4 linked regions of the Drosophila melanogaster genome follow. The protein of the gene in region 1 interacts with the protein of each later gene in a pairwise test. Each region holds a gene or a part of one and is shown on either strand. Other genes may lie near its edges.

The links.
Region 2: the proteins of insb (region 1) and CG15036 interact in a two-hybrid assay, tested with the Drosophila melanogaster proteins (one large-scale study listed by BioGRID).
Region 3: the proteins of insb (region 1) and CG42733 interact in a two-hybrid assay, tested with the Drosophila melanogaster proteins (one large-scale study listed by BioGRID).
Region 4: the proteins of insb (region 1) and CG17855 interact in a two-hybrid assay, tested with the Drosophila melanogaster proteins (one large-scale study listed by BioGRID).

The regions. Positions count from the first base shown.
Region 1 is NT_033778.4:17,472,630-17,480,569, forward strand, and holds insb (insensible), read right to left. Parts: upstream 3,644-7,940; 5' UTR 3,338-3,643; coding exon 2,807-3,337; 3' UTR 2,585-2,806; downstream 1-2,584. Other genes in the region: veil, read left to right, coding at 7,195-7,430, 7,488-7,638, 7,703-7,940.
Region 2 is NC_004354.4:7,422,079-7,429,468, forward strand, and holds CG15036 (uncharacterized protein), read right to left. Parts: upstream 2,765-7,390; 5' UTR 2,735-2,764; coding exon 2,516-2,734; 3' UTR 2,449-2,515; downstream 1-2,448. Other genes in the region: CG32726 (uncharacterized protein), read right to left, coding at 3,400-3,534, 3,601-3,648.
Region 3 is NT_033778.4:10,352,912-10,360,615, forward strand, and holds CG42733 (uncharacterized protein), read right to left. Parts: upstream 3,890-7,704; 5' UTR 3,788-3,889; coding exon 3,577-3,787; coding exon of another isoform or gene 3,566-3,576; exon of another isoform or gene 3,466-3,565; coding exon 3,383-3,465; 3' UTR 3,260-3,382; downstream 1-3,259. Other genes in the region: CG43201 (uncharacterized protein), read right to left, coding at 24-95; CG46298 (uncharacterized protein), read left to right, coding at 605-994; CG12902 (uncharacterized protein), read right to left, coding at 2,127-2,321; CG43397 (uncharacterized protein), read right to left, coding at 2,639-2,761; CG43396 (uncharacterized protein), read left to right, coding at 7,302-7,374, 7,428-7,704.
Region 4 is NT_033779.5:9,536,599-9,545,404, reverse strand, and holds CG17855 (uncharacterized protein), read right to left. Parts: upstream 4,883-8,806; 5' UTR 4,762-4,882; coding exon 4,707-4,761; intron 4,653-4,706; coding exon 4,347-4,652; intron 4,288-4,346; coding exon 4,142-4,287; intron 4,088-4,141; coding exon 3,830-4,087; intron 3,772-3,829; coding exon 3,658-3,771; 3' UTR 2,925-3,657; downstream 1-2,924. Other genes in the region: CG13113 (uncharacterized protein), read right to left, coding at 613-1,230; Cpr30B (cuticular protein 30B), read right to left, coding at 1,927-2,376, 2,447-2,458; Oatp30B (organic anion transporting polypeptide 30B), read right to left, coding at 6,751-7,600, 7,663-7,792, 7,861-8,012, 8,079-8,493, 8,556-8,806.

The sequences.
Region 1 (7,940 bases):
TCACCCAGTCGGTGAGAAAAACTCCAACGACGTTTCATTTATATCCTCCTATCGACTTGGTCCAATGGATGGCCAAAAGAGTGCCAACAGCAACAATATCAACAATCACACATTAGGCAGTAAAAACCACAGCAACAACACCACCACAACCGCTTCAGTGCCCAATATGCTCTTAGTAAGGTATTGAAATGCGATATTATCGAACGCAGAAGAGAACTCCTTCGTCCTTGCACACAACCCACACTAAATCGATGTCTTTGGACAATGCAAATGAATACACGGGCTTTATGTGAATCCGCTTGCTTGCTTCTAACATACATATACCTCTCCGCTTATCCGTCAAAGTTCCCGTATTGATTTGCATTGATCCGAAAACGCAAAAAAAACCCTTTCGATTATACACCGCAAATCAAAGACAAGAACATCTCTCTAAATCCAAATTAACATTCTCTTACAGACCTGCTAATCCTTCGCTACATATTGGCACATTTCCGTTCTTGCCCGTGCAGTTTTTCTGAACCCAACAGATACAAGAACTACAAGCAGAACAAGCAAATCGAAAAATCACATCAACATGAACATCACAGAAACTTTGTACACTTGAGTTCATAAGATTAGAGGAAGGCGTAGGAGGAGTATTTACAAAATGGACAAAATGAACTTTACGATATATACCACATACAAAACATATACATAACAAATATATTTATACATATATTTTTGCGTGCAAGGATTAACGTTTAATGATGATGAGGCTGGATCAACAAATCGAAAACCATACTTTCGCGTTGGCTATAAAACACAGACGAAACTGTGTCCAGTTTTTTATCTCTATTTACAAACCATCTTAAAGATACTAAAGAGCCTGAATGATTAGTGGGAGCTGTATTCGGTCGGGAGTGATCAGTAGTTAAGCACACGGCTCAGCTCAAAGTTGAGCTGGGATAGTCTGGCGTACAGATGATACAGAGCGAATCCAGTTGATACAGCAAGACAAAGCTATGTATAGGGAAAGAAGGACCCGACTGACGGTCGGTAGAGACAGAATCTATGAGATTAATTAACTTAATAGAATATAATAATAAATACAGAGGGCACACTTAAACCATAATTTTATTTATATATGCATATATTTAACAAAACTAACGATACAGATAAAGAATATATATATATACACTTACAAATTCTAATATTTACATAATTAACAGAGATCGACTAACCCCATGTTGACACGAAAGGTAACAGAATAACCCTAACAAAAATTATCTAATACTCGAGCATTCAGAATTAATATATCGAATACTAAAGAACTACAAATAACTAACAAATTACAAAATATATACAAGTTTATTGTGAAACAATGTCCATAAGTGGATAGTGCTGCAAATGATTACTTTATTAAAACACCAGATACGAAAACAATAACAGAGTAAAAAAGAATACTTAAACGCAAGCGTAAGCGTATGAATAACAAATACTCCATTTACTTATACACGAATATAAAGTTCTAACTAAACCAACAATGTAACTCAATACAAAATTAACGTAATAACAATGTAATTCAATGTACTTAACACATTTAACCCATGACGCTGGATAAAGCAAAGTAATTAACCCAAAATTTCGTTTCCTCAATTGTTCAAAAATGAGTCGTCTGCTTTGTCCAGTTGTCTCCATTAATTATACACTGAACTAACAAAAGTAACAAAACTAAACATAACTCGTAATCGACAATTTGATCCGTTGCCAAAACTCAAAATTTCGTTTCCTGTTTTCTCACTTTAGTTAGTTTTTAGATTAATGAGAATTCTCTGTAGAGCTTAAGTAGAACCAAGAGAGTGTGCCAAATGTTTGTAGGAAGGGATTCGGAGGGAGTGGATGGCAATGGACGGATCCCTTCCCGGTCTGAAATTACCAATTGAAATGCCAATTTATAGATATTATCATTTTTAATATTTATGTAACCTAATTTGAGTATCGAGCGAATAAAGTTGGCATTGCTAACGCAATGAAATAAACATATACTCGAATTCGAATAAGAAGATGAATAAAACGATATCTTGTCCAAAAACCTTAAGAAACATTTACTTACATACAACCATGTGAAACGTTAAATTGTTAAAAACAATTAAAATCTAGTTTTAATGAAATATCAGTAATACAGATAATACAAAGGAATTACAACCATTTATTACAAATAATTATCGTTGTTACAAATTATACAGATAACTAATATGAAATTATAACAAATGCTACTTTAGGGCGATTCCCCAAGCCCCCAGATAATTTATGATACCAAGTTAATGAAATAACCGAACAACAAAAACACCCCGCCCTAACAACAATAAGAATATATACACTTATATGATATACATACCTACAAAATGAATTCAAAGAAATAATATATGGCGATTGAGTTATTCTCATTAATTATTATATGTAAAATTAAATAACACAAGTAATAACTAAATGAATAAATAAATATATTTAAAATGTATCGAAAATCGATGTAGTAGAGTGTTTTTTTATTCCCAGCTAGGATGGAACCCCCCAATCTTAATTAAAACCTCTTCCTTTATGTTTTACTTTCAATATACATAATTTATTTCGTTGTTGCTTATGTGTTTTATATTGCTTTACAATAATTGACTAGAGTAAATAGCTTAGGAATACCCAGATCCCTGTGTTGCATAATTTCCACCCCCGGAAAGTTCGCAACCCTTGGTTTCTCTCTCTCGTTTTACTTGCAATGAGATCGCAGCAAAGTGACTAGAATGAGGAGGAGTTCCTGCCCTCCGGTTTGCTCTCAGGCGTGCAGAAGTCCATCGCTTTGCCCAACCAATTTCCCAAGGAGAGTCTGGTAGAGTGGCGACTCCGTGGGTATTCCCTCGCTCTGCAGAAACAGCAATGTTTCTCTGGCACACATGGCAAAACCCAGTGCCTCCGCCTGACTCCTTTGGGCTGGCGTCGGTGGCGCAAACTGGGCCGCCACCTCGGCATCCTCGTCACTTTCCTCAACATCCTCCGCTTCAGCTCCGGCAGCCGCATAGCCATCTCGATCGTTTAGATCCTGCTCAAAGGCATCCAGCTCCGCTTGCAGCTCCATTATTTTTTGCAGCGCTTCCAGAAGGATTCGATTGGGGGCATCTGGCGGGTTGGGGCAATTCTGCCCTGGCTCTTCTGCTGGTGGAGTTAGAGGACGATGGCGTTTCTCCGGAACCGCTTCAGTCGGTTGCTGCTCCTGTTGCTGTTCCTGCGGCTGGACACGTTGCTCCTGCGCCTGCTGCTGCTCCTCCTGGCTGGCTCGCTTGCGCTTCATGATCAGTTTGCCCGACATGCTTAGAGGATGATCTACTAGACTTAAGCTGCAATCGTTTGGTTTTCCAACTCGCTCCTGCGCGACACAACCTTCGTTCACCTGGCGATCGCCACGACTGAGCTGCGACCAACTGCACCCCGGCGACCAACTGGCAACTGCCGACTCCAACCCCAAAATGCGGCAGGGACCAGAGATAGTGGCATTAGGGGATGTGCCGCGCCAAGGAAATTAAAAACAACAATCCATCGGCAACCAAAAAAAAAAAAATTGTTGCAGCTGTTTGAGTTGCGGCAGCTGAAGCGGGAGGGCAACAGGATACTGGCTACAGGCCACAGCCTGAACGGCAGCAGCAGGATATTGCAACCCTCAGCTGGCGCTGCCTCTCTCTCTACCTCTCTCTCTCTCTCTCTCTATCTCTCTCTCTCTCTCTCTTTCTCTGCCGCTGCAGCAGCCGCGCTCCGAATATCCTCCCTTCCTCCGTGCATCCGTCCTGCACCCCATCCCCCCGGGATCACAGGCGCGCCCTGCTCGTCCTTTCCGACCTTTCAGTTGTTGTTGTCCCGTGTCCGTTTCCTTTCGGTGCGGCATAGCCGATTCCCAAGTTACCTTCCTATGTCCTTTTTTTTAATAGGGTTGCATTGAAGGGTGTGTGCGAAAATAAAGCATTTTAATCAAATTTTCTTTTTTTTACATTTTAAAGCAGACATAAATAAATTATCAATACCTTACAATCTTGGGTAATCAAGTTTTGAGCGTATAAATTTTCATGAATTTTTTTTGAATGTATAAGTTGTCAATTTAATGACGAATTAACTTAATTGCTACAAATAAACGAATCTGGACTTTTAATTCAGTTGATTTCAAATGAGTTTCGATCTGGTTTTAGCGAACAACGACCGATATATGTAATTGCTTAAATTGCTTTTCTTGGCAAAACGTGCACTGCTGACGCACTTAAAGAATAAGTTATTCAGGTTAGACAGTTAAGCTATTTAGGTAATATTTAACGTATCCGTTAAGCATTGTATTCTACCAATAAGCTACCTAAAATTTTGTTTGTGAACTTTGATCACTTGAACTTTGATCACGATGCTTCTTTACGAATATAGATTTTCGTATTTGCATACAAAATTCGTTTAATGTGCATATTTGTAGGAGATTCCCCAGTGCGGTATGCCCGACCATGATAAGCATTTGCAGCTGGCACGCTTCACATTCATCTCTTCGATCGGCACTTCCCCTGCGAGTTAGTTTGACCTGCCACTGCAATGATAAGTGCACACCTAAAAGCACTGCGAGAAATTTTCGAATTTCGTTGTCATGGAAATTGGTATGCGGTATGAGTTAGTTTGAACGAAATCACGTTTACCTCCGTTGGCATGGAGAACCAATTCTTATCGGCTTTATTGCCGATTGTTAACGTAGTAAAGGTGGAGTGGTCCCAAAATGCTAATCGATAATGCTGTCAAAATTTGGAATGAACATAATTCGCTTTATGGTTTATGTCCGCGCATTGTGTAATCATGACCATAATTTAAAATAAAGGGATTTATATTTTGGGTTTGTTGGAAGGGGGAAGGGGGGAGTGCTGAAATATAAGATGACACCATAAATGAAGAATCTCCTGTCCCAAGAAAAAAAAAAAGAAACAATCTCATTGATAGCAATAAATGTTTATTTATGGTCAAGGAAATTGGGCATTATTCGATTTATTTGGGGCTGCGAATTTGACACTATCTCAGCGAATTGTTGTTTCGCAATTTCGGAAGGGGCATTTAAATAATCACGCCCAGACGTCAAGTCTGTGAACTTATGATATGGATGGATTGGATATTTGCATTTAGTATGTCGGCAATGGTGTGTGTACACATTATTTACTTGATAAGCACTTGATGTTGTTAAGGGCGTATCAAAATTGAATCATATATATTATTTTTATCTCATTTTTATCGTACACTTGACATTGTGTAATATTGCGTGCTGGTTTTCCTCTCCCCATTTCAGTTAAACTTGGCCGAAGCATCTTCTATTTATTTTCGAACCAACTCAATTGCTGTTGTATCTTGTATCTTTCGGATATATTTAGGCGACATCTCGAGCAGGAAAGTTGTACCTTTCCCTTTCGTTTTTGAGTTATTTGCCCGAACACAGGCAGCAAATAGTAAATAGCAAATACATTATCCACAGCCGCAGCTGTCGTGTGTCTATTGAGCCATTATACATACTATATGATTGAACAGTTTGAGAAGCACGCGACAAGTGGCAGCGGATAATTTGGGGATGAACTGTGGCCCAAAACCCGGCAATTGTGATCATTTCGTGTGGGTAGAACTTCGCAGTAAACTCATAAAGTAATTTACGCGGCTGTTGAGTGAAATTCATCTTTCCAATATTTATCTATCCTTCCATTTTGGCGGCCATAAATCTGTGCAACAAGCAGGCCTCATTGTTCATCAATCGAATGTGCCTGAAAGTTCGCAGAAGACACTTGCTTGGAATTTTCGGGAAATTAATAACAAAGATCGGCTTACTCGGCACAATCGGCGGACTGTTGTTAATGGTGCGTCAATAAACATGTACAGTAAATACTCTAAATATAGGTAAGCAACCATGTTGCATATAATTTCGTGACAGTGAAAATGTTTTACTATGAAACAAAAGTGCAAATATTAATTACAGATATAGATATTCCAAAAATATCCTTTCGAATGCGTGATCTTTGATTCATGTGTTTAGATCACTTACAAGTAAATGCTGTTTGATGCTAGAGTTACGCCGAATGTAAATTCTCCGTAGCGAGCGTGCACTGTATATATTTTTTAGTACAATCCATATTTCGGCGTGGGAATGTCACGTTGTGTTTAGACAACTGTTGGGCCAACTACCTGCCTCTGTCTGAGTGGCTATGAGTCAGATAAATATATAGCCAATTCACCATTATCTGATCTATAACCGACGATTATCGCGCGATATGTCTGCTTCCGATGGCTTCCAAAACATCGAAATACAATGGGGTAATGCAGAAAGAGCATCGCATTGTCATTCTCAGCCAATTTAACCCGCAATCGCAATACGAGGCCTTATCGTAATCAGTCCGCTTCGCGAGGCAGTAAATTTCGGTTTTGCTGTTTAAGGTACTCGGCTTTATGTTTTCGGCTAATAACGGTTCTCGCACTCTCAGCCAATTTGGTGGGTCAGTCAGTTAGCCCGCGGACCGTGCGACGAGTGCATGTGAGTAGCGATCGTTGGTATTTGGTAATTCGTTGCTTCTGAAGTAACATCGATCGGGCCTTTTTGAGCCGAGTTAGCTTTTAGGCCAATGCCATGAGCAAGCTGAAGTTCGAGCTCGTTTCCGAGTTCAATCGAAAACCAGTTGACCGAGTGAAGTGGACCGCGATGGCAGAAATTTGTCGAGCAGAATGTGCTGGGGATTTGTGTGTTTTTTTTTTGCACACGCAAAGTGATAAGCGGCGATTAGATTTAAAACACCCAATAAACTATAAATTGCGATTTCTGCGCGCTCGTGATTGATAAATATTTGCCTCTCAGCAGTGGATTGGTGATAAGGTCGAAAAGGACCTTCAACAGTCTAAGTAGAAAATCTGGTTAACAACGTTTGAAGTGTTTCCATTACATGTGTAAAACCATTCGGATAAGAAAACGAACTAATACTTAAAACACGCTTCATTAAGTGGCAGTGCATTAATTTTTTATTAAAATTTTTAGATTTTCATGAGTGCAAAAACAATGATTATGACAAACCAGTTGCCGTGCGCGAATCAGTGCTTATTCACCGAAGATTATCCACCCACATTTCATCCCTTCGTGTGTGATAACTTATCAGCGATTGTTGTGTTTATTGTTCCAGCACCAAAATGTTACCTGCCCGTGGTCTCCTTATCGGATCATGCTGCCTACTGGCTCTACTGATTCATCCTGTGCAGCCGAATCCCATTGCACCCCGGGCGGAAGTTGCCGCCGAGTTCATCATTCTGCACAACAATGACATGCACGCCCGATTCGAGCAGACGAGTGTGACCAGTGGCACCTGCTCCAAGGAGGAGGCCAATACGGATCAGTGCTACGGAGGATTCGCCAGGGTGGCATACGAGTAAGTGCGGTCAGTTTGCCTAGAGTTCAACTATTCATGCTGATGAACTTCAACTAGGGTGCGAAAGTATCGCAAGGAGGCGGAGGAGGGTGGAACTCCAGTGTTTTATCTCAATGCAGGTGACACCTATACCGGAACTGCTTGGTTCACCGTCTATAAGGACAAGATCGCCAGTGCTTTCCTCAACAAGCTATCGCCAGATGCTATTGTAACTATTATTTTATTGTTTTCCGCATTCTCTTACTATATTTCATCAATATACCTTTCAATAGTCTCTGGGCAACCATGAGTTTGATCAGAATGTTGAGGGTTTGGTGCCCTTCCTAAATGCCGTGGAATTCCCTGTTTTGGCCTGTAATCTGAACCTCACCGATGTTCCGGAAATGGCGGCTGCCAAGCAGCTGGCCAACTCGACGATCCTCGAGAGAAATGGGGTGAAGGTTGGCGTTATCGGTTACCTTACGCCCGATACCAAGGTGCTTGCCTTTCGGAACAAAGTGGAGTACGAGG
Region 2 (7,390 bases), on another chromosome or scaffold:
TAATACTCTGCGAGCGAGCGGCTATTAAAATGACCAGAACTAGAGAACCCCTGTTTCAAGTAAGGGTTTCGTTCCGCTTTCAAGTGCCAGGCACAAGTGATTGGGCAGTGAACTCTGTCTGGCCAAGGTCAAGTGGGTTGGGTGGGGGCGCCCAACAAGGGGTGTGGCTAACCCAAAGGGTTCCGTTTTCACATTAGTTTTACCCTGTGCCGTTAATTGAATATTTACTGCTTTTCATGTGTGGTTCGGTCGGTCAGTCTGCATCCGAGTGGGCCCAACTATTTCGTTGGGGTCACAAAACGCCCATCTTTATTTGTATGCTTAGGTCGTTTATGCAGCAAATTGAATTGTTAATGAGCTGACAAATGTTTGCGAAATTAGTTTTTGCCTCAGTCTGTGCAACTCCTTCATCTACTTACTTGCTTCAAAACTTTTATCGATGATGAAGACGACATATGGTATGTTGCCATATACAGGTACAACACACTCCCATGGTTTTTTGTCTCTTAATTAGCCGACTACAAAAATAATTTTCTACAAAGGAGAGACGGCGGCGAAAATATCATCAGAATGCATAATGACAGTTTCCGGGCTGTGTGTTGGTTTTTAGTTTTTTTGGTTTTTTTTTTTGTTTTTATAAAATCTGGACAAAAGCGTAGATGACACAGGTGCGCCATCTCGCGGTATATTCAAAAACTATGCTGTATGCATGGCCAGTGACAGGGGTTAAGGGTTATGGGGCTAGGGGCTAAGGGCTAAGGGGTTAAGGGGTTAATGGTCAGGGGCCAGGCCAAGGGGGGCACAGCGACAGTTGTCATATGGGTGGATTGTTTTTTGGCCACGGCAGGAAACGGAAGCTGGCAGCGCTAACGTGCCAAACTGCCAACTACAAAAGCCAACAACTCCTCGCTCTGTTAACTTGTTTATGTCGCCGTGTTGCTTTTGTGTTACTTTTTATGCTCAAATATAATTTGCTTGCTCCTCATCCCAATCTCATTACCCTTTTGTTGTGAGTAAAGTCATACCATTTGAACCATTTGATCGAACCCTATGTTAAGATTCAAGACATTAACTTGTAAAAATATGTTTTAAAATATAATGGTTAAAATAAATAATAAGCTTTATTTCTATGCAAAATCTCTTGCCTTTTATGCAAATATATAATATTTTCTCACGCAGTTTTTCGCTTTAAGAACTGTCAGCAAATATTTTTTTTATATAATAGTATACGTTATAATTTTCAACTATATTTCGAAATTATAGGGTATATAAACTATTGGACTTTTTACCATGCAATAATTTTCGAAAAACAAAGCCTTCGCGTATGTAGTTCCGTTTCCTAATTTTCAGATGCCTGGTGGCCATATAAATGCTAGTGACAATTTGCAACGGGCCCACCTCAAGCTCCTTTTAGCCCCTCAACCAACATTCGTTGTTTTTTTTTGTGATGGGAGGGGCGGGCAAGCGGCACAAAAGTCATTTTTGATTGTTTTCATGAAAATGAGCATAGAAAAATTATAATTAAAATTCATATGGAAATTGTCGAAAAAAGCAGCCACTACAGAATGGAAGGCGAGAACAATGGCCCGCTGATGTTGTTGTTGACCAAAAGATTTCATCTAAAAGAGACCCAAGAAATGCAGTGGTCGAAAAAGAGGGACTCCGAGCTGCGGGTTTATTGTTTGCGGGGAACATGTGTTCCTCCAACAATCCCCTTCCCCTTCGAGTTTCCCTCAATCTTTTCCCTGCCAAAACAATGTCAGCTTATAGAATTAGAAGAGCTCCAAAAGGGGTTACAAGTGAAGGTCCAGAGGAACGAAGGGGTGGTCTCTACCTGTGCACCACACATATAGCCAAAAGCACTGAAAAAAATGCTCCATCGAAATACTTAAGACATAAGTACTACCACTAAAGCTTGAATAACTAAAGGCTAAAACTATTTTTGCTGCTGTTAGTAATTATCCAATTAAGTTTATTTGAATACTATGATTCGAAATTGTAGTATACGGAATATTATATTTTTTTTTGTAGTGTACACAAAGCACAATGGTCAGAGGAGCCAGATGGAAAAACGCATGCCGGCTGCTTATTTTCTTGTTGTCGTTTCATTTTTGGCACTTTTATGCGATAAAATATTTAATTATATTCGGCAGCTTCGTTTGTGCATTGTGCGGTGGCCTTTCACAGCCGTTTTAGCCCATTTTACATCACCTTGGGGAGTGGGCGTGGCTGAAATTGCATTTCGAGTGTCTGCCGCAAAGTATGCAATGATTTCGGATGCCTTTTCCATTTGAAAAGTGGCAGGAATGGGCATTACAACGTTTTCAACAGAATAAATTGAAGATTACCCTGCGATAAAGGTAGAATTTCGAAAATAGTATGGTATTCAAGAAACCAATTGGATATATACTGTTAAACCATAGATTATAAGATTTGGAAACTATTCTTAAGCGTTGATCAGAGGAGCTAAGTGTATTTCTACAAATTGTTTGTGTTGAATTTAGAATATTCCTTTTTAACCAGCGGCCGTGGTTGTTGCTCTGGTTGTAGTGGTTGTTGTGGTTGTAGTTGTTGTTGTTGTCGTGGTGGTGGTGGTGGCCAATGGTCGCTTGATGATCGTTATCCGTATACATCCGGCATGATCCGGATGCTCACCGATGGGCGCCGTGTCGCCAAGGCTTAAACACTCCAGGGCAACCAACAGTGCGAATATGTGCTTTATGGATTGCCTCATCGTGATCCTCGGCCCGAGAATTCCCCCAAACAACTGATTGTGTTCAACGGCGCTTCCATTCATTTTTATAGTTCGCTTTTCTTGCAGCTCCATTCAATTGGCCACAATGACGACGGACAATTGGATATGTTGTATCAACAAATACGATCACAAATTGCAGCCTCACCTCTGACCATGGGCCATGTAGGGTATGGCCCAGCCTATATATGTATACTGTATTTTCTCTCCAACATCAGATAGCTTTAATTTCATTTTTTTTTTGTCGTTGAACTTTTGTCAAATTAATGCCGATTTTAATCGCCGCGCGGGAAGTCCGGCCAAATGGTTTCAGACGTTACATATCAATAATGAAAGTCTCACAAAAGCGAAGAGATTTTAGATAATAAATGATGCAAATTGTGCAAAATGTAGAATTTTATATTTCAATGAATTCATTTCAGTATCTTAAAACGAGATAAGATAGATATATTGCCAATTACGAATAAATAAAAACGAATATTTACTAAAACTGTGGTTTAAAACACTGGAACTATTTTTTTTTTTTTTTTGCTGGAATGGTTTTTCTATATTTTTTGAAGCTATAGGATTACATAATGGTAGGTTTCATTTAAATCGTCCGTCAATGGAAATTTTGCCAGTTTTCTCGTGTTTTGCTTTCAATTTATTTAACCCGAAGAACTGGCGGTGGTGGTCCGAGGTGGTGGAGGAGCACCACGCGGTGGTGGTGAGCCGGTGAAGTTGCGATGATGACCGGCAGCCTCCAGTCCGCGCACCAAATTCACTCCAGCCACGGAGAATTGCTAGAATAAAGGGCACGAATATTTCGAATATGCGCAATCTGTAATGTTATCGAGCATTTAAGTTACCAGCAGACAGCAGCTCATGGCCAAAAGGAACAGTAGACAGAAACGCATCTTGATGTGGAATGATTGACATTGGCCTCGAACACCTCGCTTTTATGGGCCACCAATTGTTTAACCGATTTCAAACAAATATATTAAGAGTATATTTGTAATTGCTTGCGTAATTGGTGTGTCACATTAAATATCTAATTGAGGTGTTGATTTTGTAATAACATTATTTCAACTCGTCTGCAATTATCATGTGCACTGGAGCTCTCTCATTTTCGATCATACAACTGTGAATCGGTTGCAGTTCAAATGAACCTAATTCTTTGGGTCTAGGTCGAGGTAACAATGTTTATTCCAATGCGAATAGAATTTTATTGAGCGATTTTAAAAGTTTCGAGAAACTAGAGATATGTAATATTTATGCCTTTGGTGATTGTTTTTTTTTTTTACCAAAAGTACCAAACACCGTTTTCATTTTATTCACATGGTCTCTTAGTGAAACACGTCTCTGTAAAATGCGCCTGTGATGTCTGACTAATGAAATGTATCCTCCTGTATAAGCAGATATACCAACCACCCCCCAACTAATAACTAATGCCATAAGCCACTCCAGATTGCAGCGCTCGTGACTTGTCGTCGAGCATTTGATGAACTGCCACAGAATGTGGATATATATTTGGATTGGCATTGAGATTTCAGATCCACAACCCAGATAGGCATAAACGTGTCGGGAAAGTTTTATGACCAGTTCCTTTTACCTTACTCAAAATCCCCCATCGAATACGGTTACTGAACTTTGACATATTTGCAACACTGAAAAAAAAAACATTGCTACATAGCAAGCAAGCAATCTCAAATATAAAATCTTATATCAAAACACTAAAATTCCTTTTAAAATGCTTAAAAGATATACAAATAGCAGATACTAATGTTATTATTATTATTATTATGTACGCATAAAGTTAAAACGTGTTGAACTGAATTATTTTTTGTTCTCTCTGCATCGAAACCAAATCCAGTCATAAACTACCAAATGTCAGCAGGAACAGGGGAAAAAATCATAAAAGTCCCCAAACCGAATTCTGTGGCCCACTTTTATTGGATTTTTACGATAAGCCTTGGCTGCGTGTGTTACTTTTTAGGATTCTTATTTTTGTCAATGATAATTCGAAAAGCACTTTCGGCGCAAATTGCAGCTGTTATCGCTAATCAAATGGCACAAAGGACGCAGGACTTTATATATACGACTATAGAGGGATATACAGGCACATATCTGGCGAGTGTCTCCGGTCAGAATGCAAATCAAACAAACAATAAATTGAATCAGGACATTGTTGAATGTAACAGATAGCCCCAAAAACAATGAGCAAGCCTAGCTGAACACATGCATATCCTGGAGACATTAAGGATATCCTTGAGTAGATGCAATTTTCTAACCAATATAATTCATAAATTTATTTTCAATCCTTTCCGCACATAAATTTTCATATTATGCACACTCACTCACAGACAGTAGTCGTCCTTACCTCGACCCTATTTTTCTCCCAGGCCTATTGTCCTGCGGCATGTCCTGTGTGCGTTTGGTTATTATTTGTCGTCGTGCTTGTCATTATTTATATGGGCAGGCGAGAGATAAGTTGCTGCAATTGTGGCACCCCCTTAAAACAGAACCCCAAAACCCCAATCCCCAATCCCCAATCCGCCAGCCCCCACCCCAAAACAGGATGCAGTCCAGGTCCTGGCAATTACACAAGCACAGATACAATGATACACGGATGCAGAATGTCCTTCGGTGTGCGTATGTTTGCAGGTTGTTGGCCCAAAATTTTGATTTATAAATGCCAACACCGAGCAGGTTATACCACCAGCAACAGCCACCTCATCATCCCTTCCGCATTTTCGAAATTTCCCCCAGGAAGCTGCAGTTACTTTTGGCTGACAAACGTCCCCAGGATCTGAAGAGAGTGCAACTCAAGTGGCCATTAATATATCAGTTCAATTCATATTTGAAATTTTGCATTTCCTAACAGGACGGGAAACGAGGACGAGGACGACGCCGAGGCCACAGATCCTTGCCCAGCTGGCACCTAGATATAACCACTCCTTCGCCCGGAATTCCCCCGCTCCCACCACGCATACGATTATGATTTGTGTCTTACTTAATGCACAGAGTCCTACGAATTTTGAACACTATGCGAAACGAAAAGTTTCAAAATTTCAATGTGGGAATGCTTCATCAAATTATTAATTAGTATGCTCAATATAATATTAAGAACAAGTTATTGTGATCAATTGAAATCGCAAATGAAATATTGTGTATATTTTAATTAATGAAAGTTACCCAACTTTTGCCGCTGTGTAACAACAGTGCCCAACGGCACAGAACTGAACTGGTTAGCTGTTAGCTGAGTGGAGACGGCGGCGTCGTCTCAATCTGATTGATTTAGAATTCCAATTGAGACTGCATGAAATATGTTTGCTTCGTGTCTGGCTTCTGGCTGCTGTCGTTGCCGGAGGACCTGAGAGTCCTTCCGTGTGCCCCCTTAGCCCGTTAGCCCGTTAGCCCCTTAGCCTCTTAGCCTCTTTGGCCCCTTGGAACCCAACACATCCCCCCCCCCTTCCCCTTCGGCAGCCCAGCATTTATGCATGGGCATATCCTTTTGCAAAATTTGCATTTTCGAACAATTGCAAACGGCAGCAGCAACGGCAGTAGCAGCAGAGGGAGCAAAACAGCAGGAAGAGCAGCAGGACAACGACAACGACGACGACTTATTGGTATTTCATTGATTTATGACACTTGTGAAACAATTTGGAAAATCACAGATTAGCAGCCGAGAGCAGGACTAATTATACCCTACGGCTGATTGGGAAAGCACCTGCGACACACTCATTCTCCACATTCATTCCCTTGGGTTAAATGCAGCACTTATTTGCACTTTGTCATGTAAATCGGTACTAATTGCATACAAGAGACTAAGTAGAGGGCATTGGTATATGTGTTTTAGTTGCGTAAAAAATAATTTAAATAAAATAAAGGACATCGTCGGTTGTCACAATTCAGTTTATTTTACTTCTGCCTAACAAAGTGACAATTCGGTTCTAAAATGTAAATGTCCAAAAATGTCAACCTATAAATTGGGCAATTCGAATTGGTTAGGTTACCTCAGTACCTCAGACTTTGCATAAACCTAAGTAACAACCTATGGGTTGTCATTAATTTGGCACTTTTTTCGTCCAGAGTGTAGGGCATCTTTGAGATATCAGCAAACCGAACGGAATTAAGCCAAGCGAAGCTCCTTCATCATCATCTTCTGCATGGCTCGAAGTTCCAAACCAGCAAAGGACCTGCAGACTCGAACAATTGAACTTTGCCACCCGCTGTCCGCTTAACCCCCGTTTGCCTTAACCCACCAGTGGCACATGTCCTTCCGCACTTTCTCTGCAATTTCTGGCCATCGTCTTTGCCACAACTGCGACTCCAACTGAGATTTATATGTCAGCCAAAGGGTGGGCGGCCTAGCCCCTCGTTGCCCCAAAGTCCCCCTGAATGGACGTGCAGTGATTAGGCTACCAGGCTACAAACGATTTGTTGCATGTTGTTGCAATTGATTGTTGCAATTTCAATTTTGAATTATGAGGCCTGCCTTGCCTTTTGGATCCTGGCATCCGTTTCCGTTTAACCCCCCCCCCCCCCTTCAATGTTGCTGCTGTGCATTTGGTGTTGGTGCTGTTGTTGGTGTTGCTATTGCTGTTGCTGCTTCTGCCTGTGTGCAATGTGTTGCAAGTTGCATTGGCAGCGTCATTC
Region 3 (7,704 bases), 7.1 Mb from region 1:
TGCAAAGGAGCTCTTACCTTTTTCTAATTATGCTTGCCTATCAAATACCCCACAATACAGCCTACAATAAAAGTGATGAACCACGAGTTATCCATAATTTTCAGCCCTAAAGTATCAGTACTTTTTGTTAGGTCTTTTTGAAAAAATTGTTAATTTAGAATTTTGCACTTTAAAGCGACAATACTATCAATGAAATAGAGACTAAGGAGTTTGATTTTAATTTTAGAAAAATGCATTTTACATAACGTTTTGTTTTTGGCTTTGTTTTTCAGATGTATTAGAAAAAAGGATTGTGACTTTAGCCTAGACATTATAAAGAAGAAGATAGGATGCTTAAAGAAGGATCCATTTTGAAAGGATTGCGGTCGAAGAAAGTACTGGTGTAATCTTAAACCTTAGGCATAATGAGTGTTAGGTTTTATCAAGTAGTTTACGAAATAAACGTCAAATACTTAACTCACATCCAAAGGCAACACAGGCCCCACTGTTCTAAATTTCCCATTCGGCTAACATCATTTTTCTGATTTTTTTTTTGGCGTAAAATTAACACGTTATTAGAGGGACCCTGTGATTGCGCGGACATCTAATCCATAATCCTTTGAAGATGTGCGACAAGCCCGCCTGCCCCCCGCCTCCGCGATGCTGTCCTCCGCCACCGCCTCCCTGTCGCCCGCCGCCCACCTTGTGGCAGAAATTGAACTGCGTTCCGTGCAACCGTTTTGTGTTCTTCATGATCGGGGCGGGCATCGGATTATTCTGGGACCATATGAAGAAGGAGGCCCAGAAGGCGGCCGAGGAGGCCGCGAAATCGCCCAAGGAGAAGGAGAAGGAGGCCAAGGAGCGCGAGAAGAAGCAGAAGGAAAAAGAGAAGGCCGAAAAGGAGAAGGCGGAGAAGGAGAAGAAGGAGAGGGAGAAGAAGGAGAAGGAAAAGAAGGAGAAGGAAAAGAAGGAGAAGGAGGCCAAGGGCAAAGAGAAGGGCAAGGAGGGCAAGTAACGACTATAGACCCCCAAACGGACATGTCAAGGAGCAGGATGTTTTCCCCCAAAATTCTCATCGAATCCATATCGTTTCTAAACTTCAAAATTTTCAAGTGCATTATATGGCATACCTAACGATAACTATTGGTCAGTCCATTGCCGCGTTGATGGAAGGCTTCTTTATTTACTATCTAGTGTCCACCCTTATAATTCCAGATCAAGTAACAAGATCGGATGGGATATTTAACTGGAGAGAGGAAATGCCTTTGCGAAATTTGGATAACCATATCAGGCTTAAAATTATACATCACCCGAAAATTGAAATTTACATTTTGGGTTCGTGATGATTTTGAGATATGATCATGATCTATGTTCTTACCGCTAAGGCTTTCTAATACGTTGATATTCTATTAAAAATTGTACAATGAATACACACCAAATGTATTGCCCTCTGCAAGGACCCAAAATTAGTAAATTTATCTAAAGTTATTCAACAAAAATTTGAGAATATTTGTGGTTGGTCAATCAGACTTTAATTATTATACAAAGCATAAGATTGCAATTTTTAATTGTAATAGGCACTTAGTTATCGGTAAATTCGATGTTCATTTTCATAACTCGTTACTCGTAGTTTCGTTTAAAAGAAAAAGAATTAGAACGCGTTTCTTGATCAAGATCAATAAGGAAGTCGATCAGGTGCTCTGCAAATTTTGTTACAGGACGATTAATGAAATAATCAAATCATGTCACTAAAGTACTATTTACAAACATTTAGCGAACAATTGCTCCCACAGATTTGAATAATGAGCCCATATTAAAAACACAGTAAGTCTTGTACAGCACCAATTTTATAGCATTTTCAACAGAGGAATATATAATAGAGAATAGATCAATCGAATAAACCTGTATTAAATGTGGCAGTTAATTGTTCGATTGACAAATTGCTCTTTAGATAAATTTATCGACTGAGAAATTTCCTCTCCATTCCATTCATCGGCGGACAAACTTATCGAATGGCATTTTGTCTTCCCTGGCTAACGCTGCAAACGGTTGGGTAACTTCATGGGTGATGATGAGTCCAGGTTCAATTAGCTAGTGCCAGGCTTGGATGATTGATATTACCGCCGGGCATGGCAGATCGGTCAGTCCTACTTCTTGGCCTTGCCTTCGTCCTTCTTTTTGCCGCCCGACTTGTCGTCCTTGTTGCGCACGAAGAGCACGCCCAGTCCCACCCCGATGACGAAGAACAGGACGCGGTTGCACGGCGTACAGTTGAGCCTGGCAAGGAGCGACGGCATCGGCCGGCACACCCTGCGGACCTCGGTACGCTTACAACAGGGCATGGCTGCAAAAGCTCGACAGGATTTGCCACAATTTAGACCAAAACTGGAATCGCTGTCTGATGGATGTTAAATTAAAACCAAACACGTTATAAATTTTGTGTACGTCGAAAGTCTGATATACTGATTGTAAAGCCAAATAAACACTGAGCTATGTCAGAGCTGCCGCGTTGACAGGACGTTGAAGTGGCTCGAAGTTTGCCGACTCGACTACTAGATCAAAGACATAATCTTGCGGCTTATGGCTCATTTTCGCACAATAGATACGCACCTAAGAAGATCGTATTGATTTCTGCCAGTCTTGCGAGTGATCGGTCGGTCTACTTCTTCTTGTCCTTGCCCTTCTCCTTGGGCTTTTCGTCCTCGGAAAAGGTCTTACCGTACCACAAACCCACTAGGACGCCCGCAAAAACCGCAGACAATCGCTCGCACATCAAATGCATGGTGTTGCTAGATGATAACCAAAGGAAGACGTCGGTGTCCTCAGAACAACAAATGATTTTTTAAATTTCAACAATTTTGAATTTTTCCAGATTCATGGAAGTTTGCTGCTGTGGCCAAAACGGATAACTGAAAAGTGTCGGCACGAAGTTTCAAAGCCCATTAACCCAAATCTCACAGCCTGCTTTGAAGCACTTTCTACACAATATAAATTATTGGGGTTGGCGCGCACTTAATTAACCGAACGATTTCAAAGGACAATTTAATTAGGTGGGATTACGTGTGTCCCTGGGCTGTGAAAATGCGAAATTAGAGTACCATTACACCACCTCGGTGAGCAACTTTTATTGAAATCGCTGCGTACTTTTGTCGCATGCAGCACTGTGCGAAATTCAAATCAGTTGGGGGCACAACCAAAATAAGTAAATACGAATTTACGCAGCGAGCTTTAAGCCATTGTCATTTGACATTTATCCCCAAAAATTAAAGATACGATGTTTAAGATGATACAATACGCATTCTCGTATAATTATTTAAATGCAAAATCGTTAACATCTGCTTCAGAGCATGTGATAATAAAACCATATAAACATAGCTCTTTCGGAAGCGTTATCAGCGGCCATTTACTTCAAACTTTTCCTTTTCAAGCCAATTGCATCGTCGACGTTGGAGTTTTGCTCATGTCTACTAGTACGTTTTGGACTAACTAGAGGAGAAATTCGTTTAAGAGGACTTGCACATACGTATCGTATTGTATCGTCTAAATGGTGTGATTTTTCCACCCCTTTTTAGCTATTTTCTTATCCCTATTCCTTGCCTTTCTCCTTGCCCTTGTCCTGGCCACCATCCTTCCCCTTCCCCTTATCCTTCTCCTTCTCTTTTCCCTTATCCGTGCTTTTGGCCTTGTCCTTGGCCTTATCTTTGTCGCCTCCATCCGTAGGATTTTCGCAGGGGAAGTTCTGGGCGTACCAAACGCCGACCATGGCACCAGCCGTCAGGGCGGAGAGTCTGTCGCAAAGCATCCGCATCTTAGGGAATAAAAATCTAGCTAATCGGGGTATAAAATTTACAAATTTTGGAAACCTAAAATTTTTAAAATTTTGATATGTGATAAGGCTGAAATAGAATGGATGGAATAGCAAAGCCTGCCTGACGGCCAAAAGCCTTTCTAAATTCGGCAACTTAATAACCAAGAAATAATCTGTAGAATAATATCCAGAGTAAAATGAATTTTCAGCTATTTCATATGTAACATATGTTCGTTGTAAAGCTTTCTTGACATAACCACATTTTTTTCAAAGTGACTTGAAAAATCCCATTTGGTTTATTTATTTACACCAGAGCCGCACCAAACCACACAAGCCATAGAGTGCCCAAGTTTCTGAAGCTAGTTCGCTGTCACTCAGCAGCAGATAAAACCGAATGGGTGAGGTAAGCCATGAAATCCTTTATTGCCCCACTTGTGAAAAAAGTAGTTTACCACCACTTGGTGCAGTCAAGTCCAACACTTTACATGCTTTGAATAAATGCTTCTATCTAAAGGCAAAAAACGTTGATAAATATTACATAATTTGTTCTTCACTCAATATTTCTTTCTTTTATAAACAGCCCTTTAAAATAAATAGTTGCGCAGGACTCAGGGAACATATTATTAAGTCATTCCTAATGACAATCGATAATTCAGAGTATAGGCACCATACTCTACTTCTTTAAGATAAATTATTTATAAATTATCATTTGTATTGTCATTTTACTTAAATGTGTTTATCAAGTTGAGCATAACTCGATGGCACCCGCAGATCGGAGAACCCAACCATCGAAGCCACGCCTTCGACTCCACTCACCTGGGGATCTGGAGAGCGATCTCGTCCAGACTGTCCGAGGGGCTCATCGGCGTGCGCTCGAAGAGGCGCGAGGGGGCCAAGGTCAGGTGGCCGGTGGAATCACTGACACACTTGAACACCTTGGCCCCCCTCCGCTGGCGTTGCTGCTGGCGCTGCTGCTCCACGCGCTTCTTGCGCTTGTTCTCCTCGGCGCGCTGCAGGTTATGCAATCGAAAGAAGAACATTGACATTCTGCGGGTGGTGGTGGGTTGGTTTTGTTTTGTGGGTGGGTGGCGGATGTTATGACGAGTTGATTGCAGAAATAATTTCAATTGGTTGGTTCAATGGTTCGTTATTTGTTTTTGGGTTGATTTTCCGTTGAATTTCGCCGAGTCATTGTGCACAATGTTTCGATTATTTTTGTTGAGGGAGTTTTAATTGTTTTCATTTTTTTCACAAATAGTTTTATTAATTTTGTAAGGTATTTCGCATTGTTTGCAGGTCGATTTCAGTTTTTATTGGCATCGAAAGCATGAGTTATTATGAAGCGTATGGAAAAGCACAGCGAATTTACAGATACAATATATGAATTGATTTTATAAAAGTGTTCTGTGGTGTGTGTTTATGTTTGGGAGCTTTCTGCACTTCATACAAAATAGTATTTACAGAAATTATAAATTATTAACAAGGCATTAAAAATAATAGCTAGAATAAAAAACCAATAAGCTCTTGGTGATTTCGAAAGCAGAAAAGAGTGCCACAGTACATAAACCACATATATATGAAAACCATATTTAGCTTAGGATGGTTCAACAGCCAAGGCAAAGAAATTAATAATAATGATTCACTCGGCACTCAAACAGCTTAAGAAATAGCAGCACATTTAATCCCAGCAAGCCCGAGATTACAAAAGCAAACTAATGGCAAAGCTAAATCAAATAGAGAGCCATACGCTCGAGGGCGCAAACCAACTTCCGCAGTATCAATCAAATTTAAAGTGAAATAGAATTTTGAACAAAAAATGTGAAATGTGAAAAACTTCCCAACTGACTGAAGGCAGCAACAAAGTGGCAACTGTCCGCAAACGGAGGACCATGGCTTGAAAGCTGAAATGCTCCTTCCATTCCGGAAATTGAAATATGAACCGCATTCTGGGCGACATGTCCACGTCCCTTCCCCAAAATGCCGCCCAATGTCCTTGGGAAAGGCAGGAAATGGCGGAAGTTCTTTGGGTAAGTCCCGATTTTCAAGGATCTTAGGTCTGTAGCTCTCATTACTTTGATATTCCTTATGCACGAATCCAAAGTCAAGTTTTGCTGGCAAATTGATTGATTGATCGGCTGCAATCAGCTCGTATCGCGAATACATATTTGCCGGCAATGAACCAATTCTCTTGTCATCAGCTCGAGATTTCCGTTCAATTAGCAGGCGAGTTGCCTCCTTAACGAGCCTGTAGGAGTGGGAACCTCTCGCTTGTGTCAAAAATAAATTAATCGAAATTTGCATAAATTTGTTTTGGTCTGAATACAGTGTCGCGTCGTCTGCCCCAATACTCCAAACACTCTAAGTGATTGCGTACCCGAAACTTAATTATAAAAGCCAATGAACTGGAATATGGGCGAACCCTCCGCATCATCATTAGCTGGTCCTCATGAACCACTCCATTTGGTTAATTGCATTGCCAAATATTAAAAAGTATCTCCTCCATAATGACAATGGGATTAACAAACAAGAAACGAAAGTTAGTTCCCCGGCATAAGGCCTGTCAGAAGGTTGTCATCATCAGAAGGCTGTGTAAGGAATGTCCGATCCAACTATTAGAAATATTGTAACATTAACCATATAATCCTGTATGCCTTGAACATTGCAGCTTATTTGAAAGGCTTAGGAAACTTGGTATCAATGAAAAATTGATTGAAAAATATGCCTAAAATCTATACAAAAACCCAGACAAAAACACGTCCTAATCCTGACAGAACAGCCAAAATAAAAACCATGTGTGCAACAGAAGAGGCGCATATTGAAACCACTACTACGGAGGTCTCATTCTTCTAATCCTCAAATAAAGATGTGCAATCTACCAAAGCAAACAGAAGATCCGAAAAACCATTGGTTTATAGTTAAAGATATTTGCGGAACAAGTCATAAAAACCAACGTTAGGATTCCACTTATTCGAATATATGCTTTTGAGTGCTCAGATAGATTTTTTGAGTGCATTCATATACATCTAAGCTTTTGTGGTTTTTCTTTAAAAAGTAATTTAAAGCAGAAAATATTTGAATGTCCGACCAGCTGCACATGTAATCCCAAACATTTATTACGCTTTAAAATGACGGCAATCCAAGTCAATTTGTGAATAGGGAAGGCATGGGGATGAACAAAGCAAAAGCGAAAGTAAATTCCTCCTCATAAATGAGTGTTCATCCATCATTAGAGCGTATGAGAATGACCTTATTAGTACTAATGGAGTTTAACACTGCCCATTTAGCTATGCACATGCCACCGTAATTAAAATGAAATCCAGCCATAATTCCTCAGCTTTAAGTTTCAAATGCTTCAAAGAAAAGCTAACTCTGTGTTTTATAGGCCAAATAGTGTTTTTTGTGGAAGCTAACTAACTAACTATTTGACACACTTGAGAAACCGTGTTATTAAAAAGCTAGACCAATTGCAATTTTACAGGAATTATAAAAGCATCACAGTGTTCTTGAGTTAGCTATGAGAAATACAGCAGGTGTGTTTTTGTTTCAAACTTTTTCAATTATTGTGCGATCCCTCAAAAAGGATCCTGGTGAGTTCCGCTTTTTTTGGTGCTTTAAGGTTGTACATTACTCCCAATTTCAGATGTAAACTACTGCACTTTGGGAGTGGTGCTAATAAAGTATCGAATGATGTGCTCACCGCTGCGCTCACTTTGGGTCCTTAGAAAAGAAAAATGTGTAGAGGCTCTTCATTGTTTAGATGGATATTCAAAAAAAGAGTGCCAAGATAATTGCCTTAAAAAGTCAAAGAAAAAAAAGAAAGTCATATTGAGTCCCGCAACAAAACCCCAACTAAAAACGAAAGAAATTCAAACAACCATAGCCAGTTGTGCAACGATAGAGGTGGAAATTAAAACAAC
Region 4 (8,806 bases), on another chromosome or scaffold:
TAATTTTATAAATAGCCAAAACCATTCCGACCGCAATGATCATTTTTTCGGTTCTGCACAAAATTTCCAGCTGCTTGGGGGATTTATAATTTCTGGGTCTCGGCCTAGATCTGATATTAACGTCTGGGGTCGATTGACTTATCAATTTTTGGTTGTAATTCTTTGTGGAACTCAAGGTCTACACGTACACTATGGATAATGGTATTTTTGTAAGCGATATTGCTCAATACCTAAATTATCTTCCTACAAATTGAGTACAAAAGCTTTACTGATTTAAATAATAGTATCTTGACCATTTAACATTTTGTCTAGCTCATTATTTAAACAACATTTTGGGAAAACTCTGCTTAAAATTGGGGGCACTCTTAATCTTTTTTGTTTTAACAAAAATAAGCAACATCACTATTTTCATTATTGCGAGTAAAAGTCATAACAATTTTAGCCTTACAAAGAAAAATAGCAAAAAACTCCGATTTATTTAAAGTAGTCCTTTAAAAAAGTACTTTATTTTTTTTACTTTTATACTTTTAGTATTTATTCATTGTCCGAATCACCAGAGATCACTTAAAATCAAAGCCATTTGCACATTTGGATGAGGTGACTTATTTATGATTAATTTAGATTTGCTACACGACTTTGGAAGGGTAAGCCGGGGTAAACCTGAATATCAGGGAAGAAACTTTGATCATCCCGCACATCAGTTTCCATGGTTTCCTTGTGGTCACGTCTTTTTTCGATGGAGCTGCGCTTCCTTAGTTTCTCCCAGCGATTTTGTTTTAGTTGTGTCTTCGGTTTAACTGGCACTTGAATTTGAGATGGTTTTTTAGATTGACCCGGATCGGAAGTCTCGCGAACCGTTTCCGTGCGACTTGCCATTTCCACATCAATGGTGTCAGCTTTACTACGACCACTGGTAAGTCGCCTCAGCATCTCCTGATAATGCGGTTGATCCGCAGTTATGTATTCCGGTTCGTCTTCGGGATTGAGAATCTGGTAGTTGGGGGTGCCCAGTTCGAAGGTGGTGAATTCACCATGCTCCACTTTGTTCTTCAGATGCTGCGGCGTATACCCATACTGCTTAAGTGGAGCCATCCACTTGGCATCCGCATCCGCAACTGTATCCTTTGAGCTTCCCCCCAGGCAGAAGCCAAGGGTCAATAGCAATGTGACCAGTAGTTGTCGTGTCTCCGGGCAGCCGACCATTTTCGCACTGATGCTCCATGGATGCATTGGTCAGAGCGTTAGCCAAATCCAATAGAATCGCCATCGACGACGTCGACTGCGCCGGTAATTGGACGCCCCCAAAGTGGCAGCAGCTACGTGAGATTAGAGGCATCTATGGGCCATGTCGCGTCTGGCGGCGATAGCATTAGTTTATGCTTATCACAGTATCGAAGCCACCTGTATCGTGACGCATCATTTTATGAGACATCAATTCGCAAATATAATGATACGAATTCACTGAAGAAGCCAAACACACAAGCGAGTTGAACTAAGTCAAGCATTTCATTCACCACTTTTTTTTTTTGGTTTTAATAATCTTTCACTTTTTTGTGTCACACTTGTGAACTGTCATAATGTGGTTTTTCTTCACTTGGCTTATATTTTTCTTAACTGATCTTCACACTTATATAAGTATGTTTGCAACACAACCACTACTCAACTACTCATTTTTTTTTTTATATCAATAAAATACCCTCACCCAGCTTTTAAGTATATTCCCTATATTAAAAAATCCAAGTTTTTGTGTTCCTCTGCGAACAGATTGAATGGGATGCATCTTTATTGTAGGTTAATGTAAGCTGTCTGTATGTACACTCAATTGTCTTAATTGTAACTAAATTATGATGTATGGCAGTGAGTTTTCCCGGGTCAAGACGGGTTTCCTAATGGGTTTATGCAGCTGAAGTCAGTCATTAGATCCTTTTAGTACTTGTACTGTGCTGTTGGTCCGGATACAGAGACATAGTTCCCGGCGGACAGCTCCTGCTTGATAATGGCCTTGGGGGCGGCGTAGTGGACGAGTGGCGCCACCGGTAGCACGGGAGTCAGGATCTTGGCGGCCAGGAGCTTCTTGGGTGGCTCAGGCAACGGTATCTTGATGTCCGTGGGCTCACGCTGGACAATTGCCTCGAAACCGTTGTGATCATCCGCCTTGTACTGCACTATGCGGCGATAGCCATCGGAATCGATCAGCTCGTAGACACCCTCGACCTTGTCGTCCTTGCGGGACTCCTTTTGGCTCTTGATGTCGCCGGTGTGGGGATCGTTCACCGACCACTGGAACTCGTAGGCCACTGGTCCGTAGTCCGGCTCCGCCTGCAATTCAATGGCCCAAACGGCGCTGGCCAGGCACAGGCACAACAAATAGGTAACCTAAAAGGAAGACACCACTCTATGCATTAGAATCCTTTGTATCGCACCCTTTTTCCTCCACTCCACTCACTTTTCCCATCATTTTGTGGTATTTTGGTCCTTTCAGAACTCTTTGGGTATTGAAATGCACTCGACAAAGATCGAAATCGAAGTAATTAATCTGGGTAGTCCTAGGCTGCTTATATACAAGCTGGCCAACTGATTACCAGGCCAGAGCTACGCTTCGATCCAACTTGGATGTGGCAATCCACCCAAGGCGTCGTGTCGCTTTGCGGCACGCGCCTCCCAAACAAGATCGCCGACCAAGTGGAGCGCGCTCATTAAGTGAGCCCCGAAAAATTATAATTAAACAAGAAATATGCAAAATGTGGTTCGCACCAGCCTGAGCCATGCACTGCAAAAAATTAGGAACCAAGTTAGGCTTCATGTCGAACGAAATAGTAACCATTCCATTCTCCTAATTCTTCTTTTCTAATGAAAACGACGTAAAACTCACTTAATATTTTTAAGAAATTTCTAAATCCACCGAATCCAAAATAAAGAAATTTAAAAAATATTTTTATTAAAACTTAAATTTATAAAATCTTGTAGTTTTTTTACCCATGACGCATTTGATTTTTCTTTTGCGACGCACATTCGATAAGCATCCAAATGAATATGCCGCAAGTGGGAGAGCTTGATGGTGATCTTAGAGGTGTCGCGCTAGTTTGTCTGGTCCAACCAACAAATGTGGAGATTAATTTACTTTGTCAATAATTTGCAACATTAGGCATTGGGCAACAAGGCCTCCGACTGCATTAAGTCATAAAAATAATTGTCATGTTTTAATGGATAGCGCACCACGTCGAATTGGAAATGGGATGGGAGGGCAGAAGTCGGGGGCTGGAACCTTCACAGCTCGGAGGCCAGATCCTTTTGGCAGGTGATCTGTCCGCAACTCGTTTGATGGCATTAGCAAATAATTTAATTAATCGCCATTAGACGAGGGGTTTCTCTGCGCGCAGTCCAAGAAACCGGGTTACTATATCGCAAAAGTTTTGATTTAACGCAGCCGCCGAGCGTGTTTGTCGAACCTTAAAAGCAAATTCTGGTATGTGCACTGGTTAGGCGTAGTTGGTTCGGAATCTGGGTTAGTCCAGCCGTCTAGTTATTGCTCTCTGTGCGTAAACTTAGTGATCAGTTTCATCAGCTTTAGTATGGCTACTTGTTATTATGATCTATTGGTTGGTTGTTTAGTTTTTGGCTGGGAGCTATGTGATAAGATTAATCCCGCCACTTATCCTAATCAACAGGCTCGCTTTCTTTCTCCAACTTGGCGCGAATTGTTCTTTGACAGCGGGATCTCAACAATTCCCGTCTTAGGGCATTGCTCTCTGTTTCCACAGTTTGTATGAGCTGAATACAAGGAACAATCAGACATATATAATTAATGAGAATTAGGATTAAAGCTTACGCTATGGGTTAAAGCAGCTCTTTCCATAGTTTCTGCGTCGGCATCATCATCCTTGGGGTCAGATTCACTGCTAGAGGAGCAGCGCCGGGCCTGCATAGCTTTATGATGCTGTCCGGGATAGTCTTCCTCATATTTGGGCGGTGGGTCGTCATCGTTGGGTAGCGAGGCCGGCAGACTGGTCGCTCCTTCTTCTGATTTTGCCTTAAAAGCGGCTAATTCGTCCCGCAAGGATTGGTTTTGCATTTCCAGTAATTCCACCTTTAAACGAATCATTTTTACTTAAGCTTGCTAATACGTTCTAAAGCGTCTTACGCTCTCAAGTTCAAAATCCATTTCGTCAATAATGTCGTATGACTCATCAAGGGCTCTTTGAAGTTTTTCTACTTTGGCCTTCAGCTCGTTCAATTCGTTGACATCGCTTTGGGCCGACTGCCTTTTCTCCATAGCCATTCGTTGCTCTAGTAGATTTTTAGAGTATTGATCTAATTTTAAGCAAAAATTCCATTTCCTAACACACCTGCATTTCTTTGATCTAAAGAGGACTTCATTACCAAGCCTGTAAGCGTCTTCTGCCGTTTAAACATCTCCTCCAAAGCACGACAACGTTTCACTTTCTCCAGATAAGCGTCATGCAGTTTGTTGTACTTCTTCTTGTGCTTCTGCAGTGTTTCCACCAGACGATCTCGTTCCTCCTCCAATTGGAAGACCATGATCTTGGCCTCCACATTTATGGCCGCATTGGTGCTGTGGCTGGCAGATGCGCGATTTAGTCGATGGCGCAGCAAAATGTTTTCCTCCTCCAGCTCCGCACTTCTGGACTTTGCTGCAAAGGAGTTTCAATACATGGCGTATACGCAACGACATTGCTCATACGCACCGGCAGCCAGTTCTGCATAGAGAACCTGCATGGTAGATGTAGCACGTTTCTCCATTTGTTCGATTTGTATTACTTCAATTCGTAGTGGTAAAAATTACTCAGCTACTGAAAAATCTTTTGTTGCTGAAAACAGTAAAGATAAGCTATCAGCGAGTTGAATTGCGTGGATATCGCTGGCAGAGTTACTTTGTTAAGTTATTCGATTGCTTACGAACATATAGAATCGATCAAATTTTAAGTCTTAACAATTTAATTAACACTATTATTTTTTTTACCTATGTGGAACCCAAATTGATGGAAAAAGTTTTTTGTATTAATCATCAGAAATGCTAATCAAAAGATAGGCTCGTTAAAAATTAATTATTTCTTGCTCGTCTTGTTGCTTAAATAACAATGTTAATTTAAATATTATATGGTGAACCAAATTTATAAAAAAATTTTTAATAAAAATGTTATCTATATTTAAAGTACGTTAGGTTTGTGTCTTGGATATAAGATACTTGCAAACATCATGGTCACACCATTTATGTAGTTCCCTAATTCGAGTACCATCTTGTAGGGGCGCCACTGTGCCAAAATTTCAAATAACTAAAAAATTCGTTAAAAATAATGTCTTTTAAGAAAAAACAAATTGACTTGTTTAATGCAGTTTTGGTTTATTTTGTTTTTCATTTTAGGAGTCTCATTGTTTTCATTTCATACATGTCCTTATTAGTTTATTTGCAATATTTCTCTAAGTAAAAATATGTATTCCTTAAAACACACTTTTTGAGTAAACATATATATGATATATATATATATGATCTTTTGCACCTAAGACTCACTTTCTGTAGTCCGTTTTAAAATCGCTCTTCAATAATGTATAAGTTATGTTGTACAAACACATATCCCGATACGAATTATTAGCTACGCGTAGGTACTTATTAACGTACAATTGTATACATATATTTCTTATATGGATGTATCTATTTAGTGCTCGAGGAGCTCCTCTCTGCCTCCTTTCCTACTGTATGTGGCTGGTTGGTGTAAACATAGAAATAGTTGCTACTAATTAACCTAGATTGCATCACTTAGGACTACTGGGGGTCTTGCACTCGGGCAGTGCGTAGGAAAACAACCGGATGGATCGATTGAATTCCCATTTCAGTTGAGATACTGATATTATCCGCGTGTATATTTAATTGATATTTTTAAGGCATTATCGCATTTAAAGTACATCATTCGGTTTTAAAATCTAGGCTAGACACTTGATTTTCTCGCTACCATTAAAACAGGGAATTTAGGATTTTTCATAAAACTATTCCAGACCTATTCTTCATTCGAACCCATCGCTATTTTGTCCACAAAGATTCTCTAAATGATGTATTTGCATAAGAATTACATTCAGCGTATTTTCACTTTCTTTCTAATTCAACGTTTTCGTTAATTTTTGTTTTCTATACTCACAAATTGTTTCACAGCACAATTTCCATTGACAATGGTTAAATGTTCGGATTATTAAAACATTGTAATTCGCTATTCGTTTCTCTTTTCTTTCGCCAACTGATTCTCAGTCAATCGTTAAACTTCGAAACCGAGATTGCATAAAGTCGAAATAAAGCGAAACGTATGCAGCAGACTTCAAACACTTAATCGACTTTTTACGGATCTAATCTACACTCCACTAAAATACAATACAAAATATTCCTATCACAACGATCTACTCCTACCTTAAAATATGCTAGTTGCTTTCTAGGATTTCTATTCTATCGCCTGGTTACATAAATATTATCTGCAAGGATTCGTAATCGTATCTGACTCGGATTCGAATTCTGGTTGAATGTTGTATATATCAAAAGATTTCTATTTTCAGATGCCTTCTATTAGTAGATTTGAACACTCGGTCGTAAGTACAATGAGCAGCTGAGGGACGAGTCACTTCATCAGGAAACGGGCATGAACCACATACACTCAAAGTACGATGAGGCGATTGCCGCCGGGAATGGAGACATTGCTGATGTTGCCACAAATCGAAAATCCTAGCTTATAGCTACATGGCCTAGCACTAAGCACACGCGGAACGCTCCTCCTCTTCATCATCGTTATCGTTGATGAGCTCGTTACGATCGTCATCGATCTGGATCTTGTGGTGCGACGTGTTTCGCGTGTGCTGAGGATGAGCGTGCCCTGACACCGAACTGGAGGCAGCAGACTCCGGCAGCACTTGATAATTTAAATCCTTGGAATTGGTTCGCCGATGTCTCAGCACACTTAGGCCCGTGGTACTGGCATCCGTTACTACCTGACCCGAAGCAGGAGTTGCACTAGAAATTTTGGTGTTCAAGTCCTTCGAGTTGTTGCGGGAATGTCCACGTGATCCAGCTCCACCAGCTTCTATTTCATTTGAATTCTTTAGCTTGCCCACATCCGAAACCACATTCTTTAAAACATTCACATTCTTTTTGGGATTGTGATGTGAATGGGGGTGTCGTAGGAAGTCCGCATCGAAGCGTATGTTATTGGGCATGTAGATTTGGTCGTAGCTGTGGTTACGAGAGTGCTTTTTAACGAAGTGTCCGCATCCGGTGGTCAGCTCTTCGTCATCATCCTCTTCGGGGCAGTCCTGCGGCCGAAGTTGGTTCTGAATATATCGGATGGGTTGACTGGGGTCGTGTAGGTCTGTCGAGTGATTGCGCGTGTGCGCCTGGAACTTTTTGAGATTCTTGTATTTTGTGCTGGCACCAACAGCATCCTGACCAGCCGCATCCGCAGGTCCGCTAGATGAGCTGTGATCTCGAGCAAAGCTCTTGATCATCTTCACGTCACAAGAGGCACTACGGAAGTGTTTCTTAGACTTGGTCTGTGGCTGGTTGCAGGTGTTTGCCGGTGTTACCACACGACCGCATTTGTCGTAGCTGCAGGAAAGACATTTGGTTAAGACCATAGTCCTTGAGTATAAATGTGAGATAGGACTTACCAATAATCCATATGCATGGTGCGTGAATCATTGCGGGAATGACGAAGTATATCTGTGGGTATGATCAGCTCTCCTCCACCACCAACAAATGCAGTAGACGGCTCGGCACCCGACAGCTTTTCTTCAAATACTGAAAAGGATAGATATATATATAATTATATAGATATAGATAATTAGTAATTTCGATAATAAACATACATTTGTCTAGGCTAATGATGGATCCGATTATTGGATCGCTGGCGTTAAGCGGCTTCATTTTCTCAAGCTGCTTTCGCCTTCGCACCAGCCACCAATCCACCATAAAGATAACCAAGGCAATCAGCTTTACAGATGCACACAGCCCAACATATCTAAAAAAAATTGAAATAGATGTTAATAAAACTTATATATTCATATATTTTATGATATATTCATACTTGTATCGGAACTTTTCAATGTCGTAGATGAGACAGCGACCGCCCTTCTCGCCGCAGGACGACTTCCAGAGAATGCAAGTAGAATCGATTAGATTTCCGAACAATATGGGAGCCGGTATGTATCCAAATAGTCGAAATATTACAAACTGCATGCCAAGGGCAAAGGAACGTTCCTCTTCGGATACCGATCTCAACACGATCATAAGCAGCGGCATCTGCGTAGAGGCCACCAAAAAGGTCATGAAGAATAGCAGTATGAGGAACGGGTAGATAGTGCGGCAAGGCGTGGCACATGGACCGGCAGTAGCTACCGGAACCACCGTCACCTCGGCAAAGTTCTCGTTAGCACTGAGAGCCTGGGCTTGGCTGCCACCAGCGCCACGATAAATGCTGCTCGAGATGTTAGCGCGAACACCTATAACATACAAATTATATAAATATAACAGGTATACTTTATATAAGTCACATTAAACTTACAGGCGCAATTGGTGTAGTTGGTGTTGGATGTGGATGAAAAGGCCGTGCAGCCGGCGTGGCAAGGACTAAAATAGGTAAGTCCATTGTTACCGCACACCGGTTCCACCTCACTGGTCAGACACTCACAGCCAAAGTTGCAGGCGGCTGTGAGGTTGACCTGGAAAGGCTGCTCCAAAGTAGATCCATGCTTGTTGCTGGTGTAGTAGGGAATCGTGGTGCCAGCCATCTTAAGATTGTCGCAACCGAGGAAG